Linked DNA regions of Saccharomyces cerevisiae S288C. The protein of the gene in region 1 purifies or fractionates together with the protein of each later gene. This does not show direct contact. Each region holds a gene or a part of one and is shown on either strand. Other genes may lie near its edges. The genes, in order: POP8 and RMP1.

Region 1 (11,971 bases):
ATAATTATTGTGTAAACATATAAATATACAGTACTACCTGTGAATTAACTAGACGTCATGCGTATTGATTAACTCCCTCCATGAGCGCAAAAAGTATAAATATGCAAGAAAAAACAACGCATTGGATAAAAGCTTTATAAACATAAAATCATAATCATATCATTTCCTTTCTTTTTTTTGTTAAATACTCATCTCTCGGTTTGCGCACAAACACTAGTCAACTGGTTCCCAGCTGTCGACCTTCATTGTACCCTTTTCAGCTAAGTTGGTGTGGAACTTGAAAGCATTCTTTAGCATGTGTGGTTCATGCAAGCAATTGTGCTTTTTAGCGTAATGCTCTGCTCTGTCCAAGTAATCGGTCAACAAAGCTTGATAATCGGGATGAGCACACTTGTTGATGATTTCACGGGCTCTTTCCTTAGGCGATAGACCTCTTAGATCCGCCAAACCTTGGTCAGTGACCAAGATGTCCAGGTCATGCTCAGTTTGATCTACATGAGAGGCCATAGGAACAATGGTAGAGATACCGGTAGGGTCTACTTTAGTTGGTCTTGCAGAGGGGGCATGCATGATGGACAACTTTGCATTTCTCAAGAAATCAGCAGATCCACCCAACCCGTTCAACATACGGGAACCATTCACATTTGTAGAATTGGCGTGCGCGTAAATGTCAACTTCTACTGGGGTATTCATGGCGATGACACCCAATCTACGGATCATTTCCGGATTGTTCGAGACAACTTGAGATCTCAAACACAATCTGTGTTTGAAATTTTCCCAGTTTGCAAAGGCTCTGTCGAAACCCTTTTCAGTCAATCTCACGGAAGTAGCAGTGGCGTAGTCCAAAGATCCGTTCTCGAAAAGATCCAAGAACGAGTCCTGCAGCACTTCCGTCCATACAGTCAAGTGCTTGAATTGGGCGCCAGCAAGCCCTTCAATGACAGCGTTAGCAATGTTACCTATACCACTTTGTAAAGGCAGCAGGTTTTCAGGTAGCCTACCATGTTTTACCTCGTTTCTGAAAAACTCGACCAAATGACCTGCAATAGCCCTGGACATGTCGTCAGAGGGCGTATTTGGTGGGACCTGGTCCCTCATGGTGGACTCCACAATCGCAACAACCTTTTCAGGATCAACCGGGATGGAGTCAACACCACACTTGTCGTCCACTTTCAGATATGGGTATGGTTTCCTGAAAGGTGGGTTCACGGGCATGTCTATATCGTGAATACCCTCGAACGAAGGCGTAGCCGTGTTAACCTCAATAATCACTTTATCACTGACTGTAATGAATTCTGGAGAACCACCGACAGAGGGACCTGGGACGATAGACCCGTCCTCTTTAATGGCCGTTGCCTCGATTATAGTATAATCAAGGATTTTGTTGTCTTTTCTTTCCCTGGTGTAGAACCCGTATGTCAGATCCTGAGGGAACATGGACAGATGTTTATCAAAGAACTCAATTCTACCCTGGTTAATTGCCTTTGCAATGGGTTTCCCTACTTGATGAGGGGCTCTCTTAATGATCATGTCGTGTTCAGCCCAACGGTTTTCCTCTGGACCAGCAGAAGCTCCAACAAAAAGGTTGAATCTCAACTTCCCTTGTAAATTGTTCTTCTCCACGTGATCTATCAGTGCCTCCGGCACTGCCTTGGGAGTACCCACTCCTGTAAAACCGGACCACCCAAGGTACTGACCATTCTTGAACAATGGAATAAGCTCGTGAGCTTCCTTAACTTTTTTCAGATAGGGAGCATACCTAACTCTCTGCTTTAACAAATTAGAAATTGTCATTTTAGTGCAATATGTGAAAAAGAAAAAAAGAAATGTGTTGTTTGTTTTGCCGCTATTGTCTAGTAAGACGGTCTCTTGCTGCTTTGTGTGCTAATGTAAGCCCGGTGGGCACAAGACAAAAGAAGGGGTAGAACACATCTAACGTCTATATATACACAGCAACTTGATTACACATTTGCTCCAGCAAGCGCTTACCGTCCACAATACAGTGGTCATCCATACAATCACTACTTTGGTAGTTTGACGCTCCGATGGGATTGGCTGTTGCGGATGTGGTTGAGGGCGTTGTCCTCGAGGCCAATCAGCAGCGCGCATTGCCCGCCTTTGGCCCGGCGGGCCGCGCGTCGCAGGGGATGATGCTAGTCACCTATATGGATCACCCCTTGTGGTTCTTCATTTTTTTTTTCTTCAATTAACAGCCGCCGACGGCCCGTGGCGCGCGATCACGGAGTTGCGTAACTGCTCCCCTTAGCTCCATATAAGTATTGTCCTTTTATACGTCCGCGTCCTCAGCGGCTAATACGTATGTCATATGTACATATGTATATGTGTACGTATATGTATATGTATACATTGTTCTTCGGGTTGATATTTTAATGATAATGATGGCTAACTAAATATTTCGTTCCAAATGAGTTTCTTGAGGTCTTTCGTCGTTAGTGCCTCCTTGTAGTGATCAAACTCGAAGAAGCTGGGTGGGATGGGTTCGCCTTCAGGTTCGTCGTTTGGATCGTGGTATGTTTGCAAATACGGATGCTCCAGTGCCTCCTTAGCAGTAATCCTCTTCGCAGGGTCAAAAACAAGCATACGCTGTAAAAGATCTATGCCTTTCGGGTTGACTCGAGGGAACATCTTCTCCAGTGGCGCGGCAGGGTACATGGGAAGCGACTTTATGTACTCTCTAGCCCTGGGTGACTCTATACACCGCAAATCATTATCTGAGTGAGGTGTACCGATGATACCGAATATCAGTAGTAGTTGATGGCGATAATCTCTGCCAGGGAAGATTGGCCGTCTTAAGAAAAGTTCAGCGAGAATACATCCGCAGGACCACACGTCCATGGCCCTTGAGTATTTGGCAGAGGTTAACATCACCTCTGGCGCCCTGTACCAACGTGTGGCCACATACTCGGTCATGCCGCTTTGCTGACCTGTGGGCTCTGAATTGTCCGCGGCTGACTCGTCAATGATTCTTGCTAAACCGAAATCACATACTTTCAAGTCACAGTTGGAGTTTATGAGAAGGTTGGAGGGCTTTAAATCACGATGGATGACGTTCGAACCATGCAGCACTTTCACTGCTCTCAAGGTTTGGTATATAAAATATTGTATATGATCGTCACTCAGCATCTGGGTGGAGATTACACGGTGTAAATCTGTCTGCATTAGCTCTTGAATTATGTAGACCTCATTGAAGTTTTCGAACGAGTCAGGGCGTTGAATGTTGAAGATTGTTATGATATTTTCGTGCTTGAAGTGCTTCAGGATCTTTATTTCACGCAGCGTACGTAATGCGAACAAAGGCTTATCGAATGGTTCGATCTTTTTTATTGCCACGATTTCTCCCGTGGGCTTATGCGTTGCAGAACATACCACACCGTATGCACCCTCTCCCAGTAACGACTTCAACTGGAAGTCACTGGATATATTGTATACAATTCTCTTTGGCATATTATTTTCCTTTCTTTTTCTCTGCCTTATTTCCTTGTAGTTCAAACGAACTAGCTATTAGAAGAAAGAAAATGATTACAACGTATATATAGTTTCTGAGAGGCAAGAGTAAAAAGTTATGATATATTAGTATGTTGCTTTTCTGCAATTGTTTCAATGCCCTGTAAAAAACCGCATCATCTAAAATCTGAGAGAATGCAGAAACAAAAAAAAAAAAAGTAAAAATTTCGAGTAAAAGAATTTTGAGTTCCAGGGTGAAACAGATCTAAAACTCAAGAGCTTATGCATTGCTTGTAGGTACATCACATTTTACTTCAGAAAGATAAAAGAGTATGTGAAAGTAAACTGCCCTCTCCAGTTAACTCTTCCCAAACTAAAAAGTATCCGCCTGTGCGGACTACAAGCACTACCGCCCCTTGAATGAACACCAAAAGATGTGTGTAAGTTAAAAAGTCCGAACGAATTTATCCTTATGTATGTTCTTTTGAACGTCAAGTAGTCAATCTCTCCAACTACTCGGGTCTTTATATGGATCGCGTGATGTTTTAAGCCTTCTTTCCTCTAGTTTAGTGCAGTCGCTGCTTTTTTCTCGGGCTGAGTACGGCGAAAAGAAGGAAAAACCAAGGTCAAAAAATAACCTCTAAATAACAGCATGATGCAACAGCTCAAAAGACCTCTCAAGAAGCACAAAAAAAGGAGGCGAGTAGGTGGTACTATTTCATTCTACTAAGATCTTTAAAGCAATTCCTTTCCGGTTTTTTTCTCAACTACCGTACTCTTTTTCCTTTTTTATTTTGCCCTTAGATTGTATTATAAAGCTCTGTATATCTGGAAAAGCCCTGAAGTGTCCAGTAGTCATCACACGTTATGATATTACTTCATTTTGTCTATTCTCTTTGGGCCTTACTTCTCATTCCTTTAACTAATGCCGAAGAATTCACCCCCAAAGTGACAAAGACTATCGCGCAAGATTCATTTGATATATTAAGCTTTGATGATTCCAACACTTTAATTAGAAAACAAGACACCTCCGTTACTATAAGCTTTGACGATGGTGAAACATGGGAAAAAGTTGAAGGCATTGAAGGCGAAATCACTTGGATATACATCGACCCCTTCAATAGACATGACAGAGCCGTTGCAACGGCAATGAATGGGTCGTACCTTTATATAACCAATGATCAAGGTAAGTCATGGGAGCGTATAACGCTACCTGACTCCGGAGAAAGTATTTCACCTCGTGAATGCTATATAGAAACCCATCCCTTGAATAAGAACTATTTTCTTGCAAAGTGCAACTATTGTGAGAAAACAGAAGTAAACAATGACAATGAAGAGAATTCGGGGGACGAAGAGGGACAATTTGAAATATTTAATATTACACGTTGCACAGACAAGGTTTTTGCAAGTAATGATGGTGGAAAATCCTTTTCTGAGATCAAGTCTTCTCTAGAAAGGAACGAAAATAGTCCTATCAGCATTTCTGATTGTGGCTTTGCCAAGACCAGCAAAGATTCTGACCTTGAAAGTAGTGATACCTCAATAATCTGTCTTTTTCAAAATATGCAGCTTATTATGGATGAGTTTAGTTCTCCTTACACCGAAAGTAAATTGGTCCTAACTACGGACTGGGGCAAATCACTAAAAGAATTTGACCAATTTAAAGATAAGGTCGTCAATGGTTACAGGATATTGAAATCTCACATGGTTGTCTTAACCCAGGGCGACAGATATAATGATATGTCTTCCATGGATGTGTGGGTATCAAATGATCTGTCAAACTTTAAAATGGCTTACATGCCTACTCAGTTAAGGCATTCTATGCAAGGAGAAATATATGAGGACGCTATGGGAAGAATTATCTTGCCCATGAGTAGGGAAAGAAGTGATCAAGAGGAGGATAAGGGCATCGTGTCTGAAATTTTAATTTCCGACTCACAAGGGTTAAAATTTTCCCCCATCCCATGGACCGCAAATGAGGTGTTTGGTTATATTAATTTTTATCAACCTACTTACTTGAAAGGAACGATGATTGCCTCACTTTACCCTCTATCTAGGCGTCGTAACCGTAAAGGAAAAGCCAAAGGAGTAAAGAGTAAGGGGGTAACCAAAATATCTGTTGATAATGGCCTCACATGGACAATGTTAAAAGTTGTTGATCCAGATAACGCAGACTCATTCGACTGTGATATTACTGATTTTGAGAATTGTTCGCTTCAAAATATGTTTTACACACGGGAGGGTTCCACTCCAACCGCCGGAATTCTAATGACAACAGGTATTGTTGGCGATGGTAGTGTCTTCGACTGGGGAGATCAAAGAACCTTTATTTCTAGGGATGGTGGCTTAACATGGAAACTCGCCTTTGATTTTCCTTGTTTATACGCTGTTGGTGATTACGGAAATGTTATTGTGGCTATACCGTATAATGCGGATGAAGACGACGATCCTCAATCCGAATTTTATTACTCTTTAGACCAAGGTAAAACTTGGACCGAATATCAGCTAGAAACTACTATCTACCCAAATGAAGTAATGAATACAACGCCCGACGGATCTGGAGCTAAATTTATTCTAAATGGGTTTACTTTGGCGCATATGGATGGTACAACGAATTTCATCTATGCAATTGATTTTTCAACAGCCTTTAATGATAAGACATGCGAAGAAAATGATTTCGAGGATTGGAATTTAGCTGAGGGGAAGTGTGTCAATGGAGTCAAGTACAAGATCAGAAGAAGAAAACAGGACGCTCAGTGCTTGGTGAAGAAAGTTTTTGAAGACTTACAATTATTTGAGACTGCTTGTGACAAGTGTACCGAGGCTGATTACGAATGCGCGTTTGAATTTGTTAGGGACGCGACCGGGAAATGCGTACCAGACTACAACCTAATCGTTCTCTCTGACGTATGTGATAAGACAAAGAAAAAAACTGTGCCTGTAAAACCATTGCAACTAGTTAAAGGTGATAAATGTAAAAAACCAATGACAGTCAAATCAGTGGATATTTCGTGTGAGGGAGTTCCAAAGAAGGGAACGAATGATAAAGAAATAGTGGTTACAGAAAACAAATTTGATTTCAAGATTCAATTCTATCAATACTTTGACACAGTCACCGACGAATCCCTCCTCATGATCAATTCAAGAGGAGAAGCTTATATATCTCATGATGGTGGACAAACAATAAAAAGGTTCGACAGTAATGGTGAAACAATTATTGAAGTTGTGTTTAATCCATACTACAATTCTTCAGCTTATCTGTTTGGTTCCAAAGGTAGCATTTTCTCTACCCATGATAGGGGATACTCTTTTATGACTGCTAAATTGCCCGAGGCTAGGCAGTTAGGTATGCCATTAGACTTTAACGCTAAGGCACAGGATACATTTATCTATTATGGTGGTAAGAATTGTGAGTCAATCTTAAGTCCGGAATGTCATGCGGTAGCATACCTGACCAATGATGGGGGCGAAACGTTTACGGAAATGCTTGATAATGCAATTCATTGTGAGTTTGCGGGCTCACTTTTCAAATATCCGTCAAATGAGGATATGGTTATGTGTCAAGTGAAGGAAAAGTCTTCGCAGACAAGAAGCTTAGTTTCTTCTACTGATTTTTTCCAGGATGATAAAAATACCGTCTTTGAAAATATTATCGGCTACTTATCCACTGGTGGCTATATCATCGTTGCTGTTCCTCATGAGAACAACGAATTGAGAGCATACGTAACTATCGATGGTACTGAGTTTGCCGAGGCAAAATTCCCATATGATGAAGATGTTGGGAAGCAAGAGGCATTCACTATATTAGAGTCTGAGAAAGGATCGATATTCTTACATTTAGCAACAAACTTAGTACCAGGACGCGATTTTGGCAATCTTTTGAAATCCAACTCAAATGGTACTTCTTTTGTCACGTTGGAGCATGCCGTTAATAGAAACACATTCGGCTATGTTGACTTTGAAAAAATTCAAGGTCTCGAAGGCATTATTCTCACCAACATCGTTTCAAATAGTGACAAGGTCGCCGAGAATAAAGAAGACAAACAATTGAAGACGAAGATCACCTTTAATGAAGGTTCAGATTGGAACTTTTTGAAACCTCCGAAGAGGGATTCAGAAGGAAAAAAGTTTTCTTGCAGCTCCAAATCACTGGATGAGTGTTCATTGCACTTACATGGCTATACTGAACGTAAGGATATTAGAGATACATATTCTTCCGGTTCTGCATTAGGAATGATGTTCGGCGTTGGCAACGTTGGTCCTAACCTTTTACCATATAAAGAATGTTCCACCTTCTTCACCACCGATGGTGGCGAAACGTGGGCTGAAGTTAAGAAGACTCCTCACCAATGGGAATACGGTGACCACGGTGGGATTTTAGTTTTAGTTCCTGAAAACTCAGAAACTGATTCTATTTCCTATTCTACCGATTTTGGTAAAACATGGAAAGATTATAAATTCTGCGCTGATAAGGTTTTAGTAAAGGATATAACCACTGTTCCCAGGGATTCTGCTTTGAGATTTTTGCTGTTTGGAGAGGCAGCAGATATTGGAGGCAGCTCATTTAGAACGTACACAATTGATTTTAGAAACATCTTCGAAAGACAATGTGATTTCGACATCACTGGTAAGGAAAGCGCAGATTATAAATACTCTCCTCTGGGTTCCAAAAGCAATTGCCTATTTGGTCACCAAACCGAGTTTTTACGTAAAACCGATGAAAATTGTTTTATTGGGAATATTCCACTTTCTGAATTTTCAAGAAATATCAAAAACTGTTCTTGTACAAGACAAGATTTCGAGTGTGATTACAACTTTTACAAAGCTAACGATGGTACTTGTAAATTAGTCAAAGGACTAAGCCCAGCAAATGCTGCAGACGTTTGTAAAAAAGAGCCAGATTTAATCGAATATTTTGAATCGTCAGGCTACAGAAAGATCCCTCTATCAACCTGTGAGGGTGGCCTGAAATTGGATGCTCCCTCATCACCACATGCTTGCCCAGGAAAAGAAAAAGAATTCAAGGAAAAGTACTCAGTAAGTGCCGGTCCCTTTGCATTTATTTTCATTTCAATTCTTTTAATAATTTTCTTTGCCGCATGGTTTGTATATGACAGAGGTATCAGAAGAAATGGGGGATTTGCAAGGTTTGGAGAAATTAGGCTAGGTGACGATGGTTTAATAGAAAACAATAATACTGACAGAGTTGTCAATAACATTGTGAAATCAGGATTTTACGTTTTCTCAAATATCGGGTCTCTTTTACAGCACACAAAAACTAATATAGCGCATGCTATCTCCAAAATTAGAGGAAGGTTTGGAAACAGAACAGGTCCAAGCTACTCATCCCTGATCCATGATCAATTTTTGGATGAAGCAGATGACCTGCTTGCTGGCCACGATGAAGACGCCAATGACTTATCCAGTTTCATGGATCAGGGTAGTAATTTTGAAATCGAAGAAGATGATGTTCCAACACTTGAAGAAGAGCATACATCATATACAGATCAACCTACGACCACCGATGTTCCAGATACATTACCAGAAGGAAATGAGGAAAACATCGACAGGCCTGATTCTACAGCGCCATCTAACGAAAACCAGTAGAGAGATTACTTTACATAGAGTAGATAATTCCATATACTTTTCATAAACAAAAACGAGCAGATCCTTTAGACAGAATATCAAGTTCTTTCACAAGCCAAAGAAACTTGGCATGATCAGTACTGGTGCAATTCAAATAACTGCAAGTACTGAATCTCCATCTTCAAAGCAGAACCGTAATAATGCGTACAAGGAAGCGGGTGGGATATATCATATGTTACGGGAAAGTGGTTGTTTGACTGAAGATCATCGAGAACGTCATAACTTCAATACATAAGTCATCGCGTAATTTTACAAGCTTTACTGTTCAGCTTTATAGGATAATCAGAATAAGAAAAGGCAGATAAATAGTTTGATAAATGGCCAGTTGTGATGGGGAAAAAGACTTTTAGAGAATGGCAATATTTCAAGTTATCAATGTATGTATATTTTTGACTTTTTGAGTCTCAACTACCGAAGAGAAATAAACTACTAACGTACTTTAATATTTATAGTACTTCATTCGATCAAGATGTGGACGATGCACATGCTATTGATCAAATGACATGGAGGCAATGGTTAAATAACGCATTGAAACGTAGTTATGGTATTTTTGGTGAAGGTGTAGAATATTCATTCCTGCATGTTGACGATAAGCTGGCTTACATCAGAGTAAATCATGCGGATAAAGATACATTTTCTTCGTCCATCAGTACATACATATCTACTGATGAACTCGTCGGTTCACCATTAACAGTGTCAATTCTACAAGAATCTTCCAGTTTGAGACTTCTGGAGGTTACTGACGATGACCGCCTATGGCTGAAAAAAGTAATGGAAGAAGAAGAACAAGACTGTAAATGTATATAGAATATCAGTTTATTATTTAAAAAAACTTGGGCATAGAAGAAAGTGTTTTATTCTCCCAAAATATCAGCTGACGTTTTCATATTTAAACCCACTGAAAAAACCCACAAGATGATTCTGTATTATTTGAATCACCCCGAGATCTCTTGCAAATCCAGAACTTTCTACCTGGATTGGCCGAAGTTTTCGATGTTTTCAGCATGGATTCCTCCCCATGCCTGCACAGGGGAGGCTTTCCAAAGACATCCTTGAAATTCAACTTTGGCGTGGAGATTCTTTTTTTAGCTTGCTGTGGAATTTCAGAGGATTCTTTAATCCTGTCATCTTTTTCTCCATTTACCTTCTGGAAAAATGAGTCGAGCGATTTGTTTTTGATGTTGCTGTTTTTTTTGGTATTCATGACTTTTGATACACAATATTTTTGTTTATTAGATTCTTTATTCGTATCCTTTTTGGCAAACATCTCTAAAACATTATGGTTTCTTAAATTATATTTGTACCTTGCTTCGAATTTTGGTATGGGAACTTGTGTCGTACCAGGTTCAATTCTGTCGTCCAGTATATCTAAATCAGAATACACAGGACAATGGTCAGAGCCCAATATATCCGGAAGAATGTCAGCTGCTTTTATGCATCGTTCAAGCTTTAAGGACACTAGGATAAAATCTATCCGTGAGCCATAATTCGAAGGTCTTAAATTTTTTAACATATTCCAGACTGTATACATTTTAAGTCGATTTCTTGTTTGAATTAGCCTCGTAGTGTCTATCAGTATCCCCCTTTTACTCGCGTCTGGTAAAAGTGAATCAGCCAATATTTGATTAAATATCCTCCGATGTGGCGTGTCCGGATTGATAATAAATTGGATTGCTTTATCCCTATATTGTGCTTCTAACTTTGTTCCACCCATGGGATCTGTTATTGGAATTGAGAATTGTTCTAATGTATCGGCACTGTCTATAAGATCCCGGCAAACATTTACGTCGCCCATTAGCACAATCTTCTTCCCAATTTTGTCCAAATTCCGAACTCTTCTTAATAAAACTTTCAAGAACCTTAATCTAAACATCTCACCCTCCTCCGATGAGTTCGAATTTGCGGGACAATATACACTGATAATAACTATTCCACATGCCAGTTCAACCATAACACATCTGCCTTCTGAATCTAGTTCCAGTGCACTTTTCTCATCTAAATCGGGATCTAAAGAATCGTAACCACCAATTCCTTGATTTACGTCGTTTCTATAGGAGATTGCTGAATGCTTACCATTTTTTATTGTCAAGTAACCCGTTATACCTTCTTCTGCCTTAACGACTTGTAATGCATGGTATAGTGGGTGGTTCTTTTCCGGAATTCTAATCCAGCAGCCAACGCCAGAATATCCCTTTCTGGTTTGAGGGATAGAAATAAAAGAATAAAAACCATCAACTCTCCCCCACTTAGAGATAGACAATTTTTCCGTCTTGAGCTCTTGGAATGTTATTATGTCTGCTCGAAAAAAGTCGAAAACAGATCTAAGGGATTGATTCATTTGAGAAAATGGTTGATAATGAAAAAAGGTTCTTATACCATTGACATTGAAAGTTAAAAATCGTATTGTGTTCTCTGACTTTCCATCCAGTAACGTGTTTTCGCTTGATGACATAGTGTCCTGACAAGGAAAGGGATTTTCTTTACGGTGAAATAGCTTCTCTCTTGGTTGCCTATCTTTTATTGGGTAATTTTTCAGCACTTTCACATCATATAGTACATACAAACTAACTTTCTGAAGGACTAATAAATAAAAAAAAATGAATGCTTTTTGATAATATACTCACTATATGTTATTTAAGCGCATATTATGTGTCGCCTAAGTTATATAAGAATTTTTGTTTATACATCTTTAGAATTGGAAACCGCCCTCTTGTTAATAAAAGATTGTATGGTTTGGCGCTCCTTGACCAAAATTAACGCTAACAATCCCATTGCGAATAATACGTTAACAACAAATTGTTGTAAATTTTTAACGTACCCAATAAACCACCAGTCAAGTAGACAGATCGTTGAGCCAGCA
Region 2 (12,327 bases), on another chromosome or scaffold:
ATGACGAAGAGTTGCCGCCCTTACCTGTGGAGGCACAAACAGGAAACGATGGTCCAGGTACAGCGGAAGGAAAAAAAAAGCAAAAGAGTGCTGCTGTTAAGTCGGCGCTATCAAAAACGCTTGGTCTCAATAAGTAATTTATTAATACACAAAGATATATTATTTTAGTATATATATAAACGAAATGCCTTTTTTATTTACATGTGTCGGAAATAGAGTAGATGCGGTAAAGAGGGGGAGGGGGGGGGGGTATGCGGTTTTGTCATTACTCTTTTCCGTTAAACTTAAAAGCTTAAAACATCATTGATAAAGGTTTTTAGTGAGGTTTCACTGGGGTTCACATTGATGAAATCTAATTGTCTGTAGGAGCCATTGTTCAAAAATCCGCGGCTGATATCTGAATATTGAATGATGTATTTATCATCTTGGGCAGTGTTCGTAGGAAATCGTAAATTCAAGACACGATGGGTCAAAACATCAGTCAATTGGTATTGCTGTATTAGGTTATCTGGTAAAGAAATGTTGATTTTTTTCATAAGATTCTGATATTTGTTTAACTTCCAGTGTGACTTGAGAAGAAATTCTTGGAGGCCTTTTTGTTCAGATAACCAAGCATCCGGATTGGTCTGGTCGAAATCAGGTAAAAGATCTTGAATGTAATCTGACGTGATCTTATAGTCTGTCTGGCATTGTGGAGTTCTTAAGATAACAGAATTTTCTTGTAATTTCAAAAGAGGCCTCATTGAGGTGGTAACAATGTTATCGAATTCGTCAATCTCGAACCAAATCTGCAAAAAAGGGGACGAGGAGGAGCCAGAGGTGGGCGGCACAGGAGTGAAGTTCAGCTGTATGAAGGATTGATGCGCATTTGTTATTAGATGTTGATCAAGAGGCACAGGCACAGGTACGGCTGATGATGATGATTCTTTGTACATTGGTAGATTCAGTAATTTTGAAATAAAACTCTTATGTATTAGAGGTTGGAAAATACTAGAAAAAGACGCGGACTGTAAGGAGTGACCTAGCGTTATTGATAAAGATTGGGAAATAGAGTCGGAAGGGGAGAGAGATGGTATATTTTTAGACAAGGAAGATTCGAATTGGCTGACCTGCGCATCTGTCAATTCTGGTGTGGCGTTTTCAGTGGGAGTCATCAGATCTGTGCAATTTTTAGGGACAACTGACTGTAATCTTGCCCAATCTTGTGACTTGTTTAGCCAGTCCAAGTTCTCTAGAGTATTGTTGAACGGATAGAGTTCTGTCTTGAGTGCTGGTGAGGCTATTGTGTGGTGGTGTTGAGTTGTGTTAGGATTAGAAGCGACGGCATTTAATAAAAAGACTTTGGCCATGGATATTTTCTTGGTGCTTAGGGCTGAAATCTTGTACATTTGCAAGTCCGGGAGGTATTCAAAAAAAGTGTGAGTTTCCTTCTGAATAAGGTTGATGACGTCTTTTGATGGCATGAGGGAATACATACGCACATTTTCATGAGTGATGTTTGACCATATTTTGTTTAAGGATATTTCTGCGTATTTGAGCAAGCTAGGCGAACCCTTGACGGTCAATTCGTTATCCTGAATGGAGATGATGAATGTCAGCCCGAGCTTATTGAAGTTGGTGAGTATTTTACCATTTTGAGTGATGAGTAAAAGGAAAATTTCTCTAGGAGAATCGAACTGGAAAGTCAATGATGTGGACTTGATGCCTGTGGGAGTGGTGGGTGTTGAAATTGGTTGGCAATTCCAGATTTTTTCAATTATATATTGGGACAGCTTGCTTTTCTTCCAGTGCGTCAGATGTGAAGAGGAGTCTGGCTGATGTGTGGAGATGAACTCGCGCAGTTGGTAGCGATTGTAGCTTGATGTAAGCGATTGGAGAAGGGCATTGTATTCCAGGGAGGGCAGACTGGCGCTTGTCGGTTTCTTCAATCGGATGGAGTTCAATGCGGAATCTAGTGAATTCTGCTTTTCGAAGACAAGGAGTTTCGAGCCGAAATCGAGGTTGTTATCTCCAGTTTCCTTATGGCTACGTTTCTTAGACGGCCTGTGTCTAGGCTGCTTCTGATCATTTTTCACTAGCCCAGATTGGGTAGGGTTCAAGACGACGAATTTCAGATTTTGCGGCAGTTTCTTCTTCCCATGAAGGGGCGAGCTTGGGCCTGAGCTTGAATAAAGACGGTAAGTAAGACGGGCGAGCTTTTTGTTGAATTTCCACATATGCTTACTCTATATTTTCTCCAGTGCCTTCAAGCTCCGTATATATTATGTACTAGTTTTATTACATTAAAGATACATAACTTTTTTTTTTTTTTTCAGTTCACTGAAATAAGAAAAGGCGGGCGAGGTGAAAAACAAAAAAAAAAGTATAGAGAAACAGAAGTGGAAGAAGAGCTAGGAAAGCACAGCGCATACGACGGTCACCTAGGATGGAGCACCAACAATTGCGGAAGTACGTCGAATTGTACAATAAGGAGGTCGAGGAATTCTACAATGGTGCCGCGTCAGGCCGCCCAGCTGAGTTCCATCCTTCCAAAGTACATGTAAAGAGCATCCATGAAAAGGCGGGTACCGCCAATGCTGGTGTAGAAATCTCTAGCGTTGGTGTAGACTGGGACAGCGAGGAGAAGAATACCTTTTTCTGGTGCCTTTCACGCTATAGTATCCACCGTGTAGACGAGTGGCGCTCATTGTTGCCTCGGAAGAGCGCCATGGAGATTCTAGGTTATTACAGGTTGTTAAGGAGAGCGAGTGCGAGCGCGAGATCGCGTAAGGCGGGTGACGACGGAGCGCCCATTGCGTACGAAATGAGCGCTGAGTGGGTTGCCCTGGAGACAAAACTGAGCGAGACAGTGATGGCCATCACGGAAGGCGCAGCCGAGGTTGCCGATGAGGAAGGACACTGCGAGGGCCTTATCGATTATGAAAGCTGGAAACGCAGGTGGGTGGCCATCTACTCGCACAGCCGTATCGCGGAGATAAGACCCTTGCCCCGCCACGCGCTGCCGCTATCGCGCAGCGCGACGCAGACTTTGGAGCGCTGCGTAAGTCGCTACACACGTACATTGCTGTGGTGCACGGCCCTTGCGGGTATGGCTTCCCGCAGCGTCAGCGCCAGGGCGGCCGAATCTCGAGGACACAAGTCGCTACCGACGGTGGTAACTCGCCGGCAAGTTGAGCGTGCACTATGCACAGAAGCCCGATCACGTGACCTACACGTGCTTCCAAGGCGCATTGTTTTGACACTGCGCAAATGGGAACTAGACTATCCGCGAGAGGGCAAACTGTTCCGCACCAAGGAGATGGCACATCTGTTTCTACAAAGCCAGTTGTCCAGACGGGATGCGCCCCCAGTCCATCAAGACGAAAATCAAGAAAATCAAGAAAATCAAGAAAATCAAGAACAAGATAACACTGCAAGTGAAGGTGAAAGCGAGGCAGAAAGGGATGAAATCGACGAAGCGGACTTGTTCCGATCAGCATTACATGAAAATCAGTTGCTAAAATGGTTATCCAAATGAGACACAATGCGAAAAATCGCGCAGGGACATAATTTTTGTTTTCATTATTCTTTCGCTTATTCCCTCCGTTAGCTCCACCGCTTTTTTGATTGGAATTTCCTTTCGGCAATGGCTTTCCGGTTACCACGCCTCGGGTTTCGCATCCCGAAAAGCATATCTACACAAGAAAAATGAATGATAAACAATTGATGAGTGGCGCTATTTCCCTTATCATCTCATTATTGTACTTAGTATCGTCTATTATCAGGAGAAATCGCATGAACTAAGCCCATTTTCTCACCCTTCTGCCTTCTTATATAAAGCTTGCTGGGAACCGAACACAAACTCCACAAGTCCGTAGCAGCTCTTCTCTTTTGTCTTTTATATATCATAAACATCGCTACATAGTAATAACACTAACGCACGCTAGAAATGATAGCTTCCAAAAGCTCCTTATTAGTTACTAAATCGCGCATACCCTCTCTATGCTTTCCTTTGATAAAGAGGTCCTATGTGTCAAAGACTCCGACACACTCTAACACGGCTGCTAATCTGATGGTTGAAACTCCGGCCGCCAATGCCAACGGCAATAGTGTGATGGCACCTCCTAACTCAATCAATTTTCTACAGACACTTCCCAAGAAGGAACTATTCCAACTGGGATTCATCGGTATTGCGACCTTGAACAGCTTCTTCCTGAACACGATCATTAAGTTGTTCCCTTACATCCCCATCCCAGTAATAAAATTCTTCGTCTCTTCTTTATACTGTGGCGGTGAGAACTTTAAAGAGGTCATCGAATGCGGCAAACGTCTGCAGAAGAGAGGTATATCGAACATGATGCTTTCATTAACTATTGAAAATTCCGAAGGTACAAAGAGTTTGTCCAGTACTCCAGTAGACCAAATTGTCAAGGAAACAATCAGCTCTGTCCACAACATCCTACTGCCCAATATTATTGGCCAGCTGGAATCTAAGCCAATCAATGACATTGCTCCAGGTTATATCGCTCTAAAACCCTCTGCTTTGGTCGATAACCCTCACGAGGTTCTGTACAATTTCAGTAATCCCGCCTACAAGGCTCAAAGGGATCAGCTGATCGAGAACTGCTCTAAGATTACAAAAGAGATTTTTGAACTAAATCAATCTTTGTTAAAGAAGTACCCTGAAAGAAAGGCCCCATTTATGGTTTCCACTATTGACGCTGAGAAGTATGATTTGCAGGAGAATGGTGTTTACGAATTACAGAGAATCTTATTTCAAAAATTCAATCCCACTTCATCTAAACTGATATCATGTGTCGGTACTTGGCAGTTGTACCTAAGGGACTCTGGTGACCATATTTTGCACGAATTGAAGCTGGCCCAAGAAAACGGCTATAAGCTTGGGCTGAAACTGGTTCGTGGTGCTTATATTCATTCTGAAAAAAACCGTAACCAAATTATCTTTGGCGATAAAACGGGCACTGACGAAAATTACGATCGTATCATCACTCAAGTTGTCAATGATTTAATCATCAATGGCGAGGATTCTTATTTTGGTCACTTGGTTGTCGCCTCTCATAATTACCAATCCCAAATGCTCGTTACTAATTTGCTAAAATCTACCCAAGACAACTCTTATGCCAAATCGAACATTGTGTTGGGGCAATTACTAGGTATGGCAGATAATGTTACCTATGACCTAATTACCAACCATGGCGCTAAAAACATAATCAAGTATGTCCCATGGGGCCCACCATTGGAAACTAAAGATTATCTTTTGAGAAGATTGCAAGAAAACGGGGATGCTGTGAGATCTGATAATGGCTGGCCATTAATCAAGGCCATAGCAAAGTCGATTCCAAAAAGAGTAGGCCTATGAGAGGACTATAATATATACTCCAATTTCAAAGACAAACCAAAAAACCAAAAAAAAAAAAAAGTATGCATACATAATTCTGATGTTCTAGTTATACATATTATATATAAGTAATGATAATAACACTAATAGTAAAGTAAACGCACGGATATCAAGAGTTAATATACTTGAACCACTTAAATAACAATCTGTTGGTAAAGCTTTCTTCCTATTGATTATGGGTTCGAATAGTACCAGATGTTTTGCCAATCCTAAATCGGTAGGAAAGTGGCTTGTCGTCGTCAGGCTTATTATCAACTCTTATGCACAAGAAAGGTACTCATCTTCTATAAACTACATAAGACCTGAATCTAATCAAAGGGAGAAAGCGCAGAACATCAGATTTAAAGCGGTTTTGCTTGATACACTCAGCCTTGTCTCTTTGTAAGGATTTTGGGGTACCTATGAATAATACATCTAGTAGTGTTAGTAAACCAACGTATGGGATTTTGGGATACATAGTTTTCCAGTGTTTCTTATCCGTGATAGTTTAATGGTCAGAATGGGCGCTTGTCGCGTGCCAGATCGGGGTTCAATTCCCCGTCGCGGAGAATTTTTTTAAGCTTCTATTAAAGAAGCTTTTTTTCACTTATATCTGATGGATGATGAATAGCTAGTTCAAACGGAAATCTTTGATAAAGCTATATCAAAATTCAAAGCCCAATAAGTCAGTATCATGAAGTTTATAGCATTAATATCAGGTGGGAAGGACTCGTTCTACAATATTTTTCACTGCCTGAAGAACAACCATGAATTGATTGCCCTGGGAAATATATACCCAAAAGAATCAGAAGAGCAAGAATTAGACTCTTTCATGTTCCAAACAGTAGGACATGACTTAATAGACTATTATTCTAAATGTATTGGTGTTCCACTATTTAGACGCTCAATATTACGGAACACTTCTAACAACGTCGAGTTGAATTATACTGCTACTCAGGATGATGAAATTGAAGAACTATTTGAACTTCTAAGAACTGTCAAAGATAAAATTCCAGATTTAGAAGCTGTTAGTGTAGGTGCCATCTTATCGTCTTACCAGAGGACCAGAGTGGAAAATGTTTGTTCCAGATTGGGTCTAGTAGTGCTAAGCTATTTATGGCAAAGGGATCAAGCCGAACTAATGGGTGAAATGTGCCTTATGTCCAAGGATGTTAACAATGTTGAAAACGATACTAATTCAGGAAATAAATTTGACGCCAGGATAATCAAGGTGGCAGCAATTGGATTGAACGAGAAACATTTAGGAATGTCCTTGCCTATGATGCAACCGGTGTTACAGAAACTTAACCAACTTTATCAAGTTCATATCTGTGGAGAGGGTGGGGAGTTTGAGACAATGGTCTTGGATGCCCCTTTTTTCCAACATGGATACTTGGAATTAATTGATATTGTCAAATGTAGCGATGGTGAAGTTCACAATGCAAGGTTAAAGGTAAAATTTCAACCGCGTAATTTGAGCAAAAGTTTTTTACTCAACCAATTAGATCAATTACCTGTACCTTCGATTTTTGGTAATAATTGGCAAGATTTAACCCAAAATTTGCCAAAGCAACAAGCTAAAACAGGAGAACAAAGATTTGAAAATCACATGTCGAATGCTCTACCACAAACGACAATCAATAAAACCAATGATAAGTTGTACATCTCTAACCTACAATCACGTAAAAGTGAGACGGTCGAGAAGCAAAGTGAAGATATTTTTACTGAGCTAGCCGACATTCTGCATTCCAACCAGATTCCACGGAATCATATTTTATCTGCGTCATTATTAATTAGAGATATGTCTAATTTCGGAAAAATCAACAAAATATACAATGAATTTTTAGATTTGTCAAAATACGGACCTTTGCCACCATCAAGAGCATGCGTAGGTTCGAAGTGCTTGCCAGAAGATTGTCACGTACAGTTATCAGTTGTTGTTGATGTAAAAAATACAGGCAAAGAAAAAATCAACAAGAATAAGGGCGGACTACATGTTCAAGGCCGTTCATATTGGGCTCCATGTAATATCGGACCATATTCCCAAAGTACTTGGTTAAACGATGATGCAAACCAAGTCAGTTTTATCAGTGGGCAAATCGGACTAGTACCGCAGTCAATGGAAATATTAGGAACACCTCTCACTGACCAAATAGTTTTGGCATTACAACATTTTGATACTTTGTGTGAAACAATAGGAGCTCAAGAAAAGTTACTCATGACATGCTATATTTCAGACGAATCGGTTCTCGACTCTGTCATCAAAACATGGGCGTTTTATTGTTCAAATATGAATCATAGATCAGATCTATGGATGGACAAATCTGATGATGTTGAAAAATGCCTAGTTCTTGTAAAGATTTCTGAATTACCTAGAGGCGCTGTTGCAGAATTTGGTGGTGTTACTTGTAAGAGATTAATAGTGGACGATAATGATTCCGACAAGAAAGAAAGGGAAGAGAATGATGATGTTTCAACCGTATTCCAGAAATTGAATTTGAATATTGAAGGTTTTCATAACACTACAGTTAGTGCGTTTGGATATAATAGAAACTTTATTACGGGATTTGTAGATAGTAGAGAGGAGTTAGAACTTATCTTGGAAAAAACCCCAAAATCAGCCCAGATTACCCTCTATTATAATCCCAAAGAAATCATCACTTTCCACCATCACATTGGATACTATCCGGTGGAGAAACTTTTTGATTACCGTGGTAAAGAACACCGCTTTGGGTTGCATATTCGTTCCTAACTCCAAATGTAGGCCTTATATTTTATAAACTTAATAGATATACGCTGTCCACGCTCCTGGCGGTGTAAATGATAGACAGATCCCAAATATGTTAGCAAATCATAGGAACAACACCATATTGTGAACACGTAAAATTTAGAATACGCCGCACAATTAAGGTGTGTTCTGTAATAATTTGATTATTGATGATGGTTTAGGAACCAATATTCATATAAAAAAATGATCATTCTATAAAATACCTTATCGTAACACTTGTACCATGCTACTAACACTGTATATATTTCTGACCCCTAAGAAAAAGCACCTGAATAAGCTAAAGACCAAGTTAAGCTTTGCCCATTGTCTAGGAAATTTCTGTTGAAATCAGGTTGGCTGAAAAAGTCGTACGAAAATTTTGGATCAAGCAGAGCCATATTTAACATGATTATTCCTTTCCAACCGTCATTCACTTGATCAATTATCGGCTGCATTTTTTCTTCCCACTCCTCTTTGACAAAATTTGGTGTTCTGACCCATGAAGATGCTGATGTTATAGGAATGGCGTGAATCATATGAATGTATTGAGGCTCCATGCCAAAATACGTGGCGTGATCAATTTTATTTTCGAATAAAATACCACTAACTTTATTACCAATAAATTCTTTCGGTTGGACAGTATTATTGCTTTCGTATAGGAAGTAGCTCTGGAAAACATTTCTCATGATGCCGAGTTGTAAGTTCGCTATGTCAGTTAACTTAGAATTTCCAGTTACCAACCCCCACAATTTTATCGCATAGCAAGAATTGACATCTTCTGAAGTAGATTCTTCATCTTTACCGTCACCACTTGGAAATAGTCCTTTGGCCCATGAATGGCCATTAAACCAATCAAATGACCTAAATTGAGGGAAGTACGGATCATCGTTGTCAACACCAGAGTAATCTCTAATTAAGCACTCAACCCAATCTCTATTATTTTCTAACCAGGAGTTGTTAGTAACTCCACTTAAATCAGAATCGACTAAAGAGATAATGGCAGCCGTTATGACATGATAAGAGTAATGAAAATGATGATCATTATAATAAGAGTTACCAAAGTCTTGGCTAGAAGAGCCTGATGAAATTATGCCTTTCCAACTAACGTCGTAATTTAAAGGTAAGACTTGCTGATTGCTGATGAATCTCTCCATTGCAATAGTCAGTTTAGATAATAATTCTTTTGTTAAATTTTCATCATGAAGGATGTAATGTGTCACATAAAGAATCCACGCATACTTTGCAAGTATCTTACCAGAGAAATACATAGAATCTATGTTTGATTCTTGTTGAGGGTCACTCAATTGAACTTCTTGAACAGCAGCTTCCCGAATTTTAGATAGCTTTTCTTGACTGTAATCTGCCTTCTTATTCAAAGATAACGCGACAGGTTCAAAGCCCAATTCTTGAGGTACTTGAACCTGCATATCAAAACTGTTTGTGAGATAACCAGTCATTAAGCCTTTAACTGTGGAATCCAGGCTTGAGGCAATTTCACGTTCCTGCATTTCTGGTGTGAATGCCGCTTTATGATGTGGTAAAGCATACATTAGAGTAGTTCCAGACTGCGAGTAGCCTGCAACCGTATAGTTAAATCTGTAATTTGTGAAATGTTCATCAACAGTTTGCCCTGATAGGTCACAGTATACTGGATAACAGCCCGCTGCCATGTCAATACTGGGGACGGAGTCTGCAGATAATTGACAGATAAGACCATTGATTTTATGAGATGATATTATTGTATTGCTGTCGAGTAATGAAATTTGAAAATCTTGTGGAAAAGAGTAATCAGGTGAGGTCAAATAAAGTATCCAATTCCTATTATTCTCAAGTTGTATATTATATTTACCATATCTTTCATTCACGCTTATGCGCTCTAAGCTCCTGAAACCAACGGCGCTTCTTAATTCAAAACCCAAATCGTGGTAAATAGCCGTGACAAAGCCCATCCCCTGAACCAGCGGGAATTCTATAAACTGGGAACTACTCAAAGACATTAGTAAGCACATGGACATATGTTTCATATCCCGGAATTCAAGCTTGATATCATTTGAAGAGACAAATTCCCTGGCCTTGAATACAAATGATTTTATATTTGTGGGATTGAAGTAGAATCTGGGAGGATTTGTAGTTGTATCAAAAACCCTTTGAGACGCTAAAGTATGATTGGCGGCCAAACCAAACAATTCTGGATCACGAGAAAACCAAATTGAATAAGGATGTGTCCATATAGGTTGTGTATTATCGTCTAATAACATGTTTGTGTAGAACTTGTTTGTCTCCAATGGATCAACAGATTGATCATCAATATTCGGCTTTGGTACCGGGTGTTGAACTTTGTTGAAGACGGAAGGAGGAGCTTTTAAGTTAGAAAGGACAGGTGATTGAAAAATATTGTCACTATTCACCTGGCTGTCAGCTAAAGGGTTAGAACTGCTTGGTGTGCGCAGTGATTCACCTGCCACCCTATTTTCTCGAGGTTTACTGGAGTTCTCAGAAGAACAAACTGGTGGCTGAACATTTGCGCGAGGTGGTAAGGGAGGAGGTCCTCTATTGGTAGTACCGCCAGGTCTATTAGGAACAGGTGGAGGAATGGCTTGCCTACTGTAACACATCTTTTTACTTCTCGTATTTATTTATTTTTGTTTTTATGATACTAGCACTTTTCAGAAATTCATGAATTTTATTTATGGTTCCAAGAAAAAAACTTCAAAGAAATGAGTACTAGAATGATATATCCACAAAAAAAAAAAGAGCAGAAACAAAATGGATGAGATGGATAATGTGATACGATCTCTGGAGCAAGAATATCGGTTAATATTGCTCTTGAACCATAGGAACAAAAATCAACATAGAGCGGCTAGCTGGTATGGATCGTTCAATGAGATGAAAAGAAATTGTGGACAAATAATAACGCTTTTTAGCTCGAGAAGATTACAAGCCAAACGCCTTAAAGATGTTGAATGGGTCAAGTTGCACAGGCTATTACAGAGAGCACTTTTTAGACAGTTAAAGAGATGGTACTGGCAGTTCAATGGCGTAATTGCGCTGGGACAATTTGTAACGTTGGGTTGTACACTAGTAACATTGCTGGCAAATGTGAGGGCACTGTATATGAGATTATGGGAGATTAATGAAACTGAGTTTATAAGATGTGGATGCTTAATAAAGAACTTACCGAGAACAAAAGCAAAATCGGTTGTGAACGATGTCGAAGAACTTGGAGAAATTATAGATGAAGATATTGGCAACAACGTTCAAGAAAACGAACTAGTGATAACGTCTATACCAAAGCCTCTGACAGAGAACTGTAAGAAGAAAAAGAAAAGGAAAAAGAAGAACAAATCAGCCATTGATGGCATATTCGGATAAATATACAAGTAAATAGACTTTTTAAAATAATAATATCAATGCTAATAAATCATTCATTAATGACCTTGTCTGCCCAAGTAGGCAAAACAAACGCACTAGAATGTATTTGAGGATTATAGTACTTCAGCTTCCCTTGTTCTTGCTCAGATATCTTTCTTTGCGGAATGTTCAACGGTATATTGGCGTTATTACTGCAAACAATTAAACCTAATTGGCCAGATGTATAGGTTGGAACCATGGTATAGCAATATTCTGTATTAGGAAATACCTTTTTGGCTGTATTTTTCAAATCATGTAAGTATTTTAAATTTAACCAAAAATTTTCAGAGCTTTGCATAATAACAACGCCATTAGGATTTAAAGCATCTTTCAATAGTTCGAAATACCTCTCTTGAAAAAACGCTTCAGCTGGACCTTCAGGATCAGAACTATCTGTAATAATGACGTCAAATTTCTTATGGACGTCGGAAGCACCTATATCTTGTAAGAACTTGAAGCCATCGCAAAGTTTCAAGTCCAACCTTTCGTCATCGAAAGCACCATTACTCAATGTGGGCAAGAACTTACGGGATAATTCGATCACTGATGAGTCAATTTCTACCATAGTGATATCTTCTACACAGCTGTGCTTGGCTACTTCCCTTAAGACACCTCCGTCCCCACCGCCAATGATAAGTACACGCTTGGGATTAGAATGCGCAAACATGGCAATGTGGGTGATCATCTCTTGATAGGCAAACTCATCAAATTCCGTACATTGGACAATACCATCGAGGACCAAAACAGTACCGTATACCTTGTTACGGAAGAT

Evidence for each region.
Region 2: the proteins of POP8 (region 1) and RMP1 purify together in Saccharomyces cerevisiae (affinity purification with mass spectrometry; 2 studies listed by BioGRID). This does not show direct contact.

What each region holds. Positions count from the first base shown.
Region 1 is NC_001134.8:183,945-195,915, reverse strand, and holds POP8 (ribonuclease P), read left to right. Parts: upstream 1-9,441; coding exon 9,442-9,488; intron 9,489-9,563; coding exon 9,564-9,918; downstream 9,919-11,971. Other genes in the region: ACH1 (acetyl-CoA hydrolase), read right to left, coding at 214-1,794; mitogen-activated serine/threonine-protein kinase FUS3, read right to left, coding at 2,404-3,465; PEP1 (type I sorting receptor), read left to right, coding at 4,333-9,072; DNA-(apurinic or apyrimidinic site) lyase APN2, read right to left, coding at 10,001-11,563; RFT1 (glycolipid translocation protein), read right to left, coding at 11,791-11,971. UniProt on the Saccharomyces cerevisiae protein: Component of ribonuclease P, a protein complex that generates mature tRNA molecules by cleaving their 5'-ends. Also a component of RNase MRP, which cleaves pre-rRNA sequences.
Region 2 is NC_001144.5:421,258-433,584, forward strand, and holds RMP1 (Rmp1p), read left to right. Parts: upstream 1-10,910; coding exon 10,911-11,516; downstream 11,517-12,327. Other genes in the region: NHA1 (Nha1p), read left to right, coding at 1-137; SLS1 (Sls1p), read right to left, coding at 285-2,216; RRN5 (Rrn5p), read left to right, coding at 2,426-3,517; PUT1 (proline dehydrogenase), read left to right, coding at 3,929-5,359; DPH6 (diphthine--ammonia ligase), read left to right, coding at 6,072-8,129; ACF2 (endo-1,3(4)-beta-glucanase), read right to left, coding at 8,420-10,759; SPE4 (spermine synthase), read right to left, coding at 11,566-12,327. UniProt on the Saccharomyces cerevisiae protein: Functions as part of ribonuclease MRP (RNase MRP), which is involved in rRNA processing in mitochondria.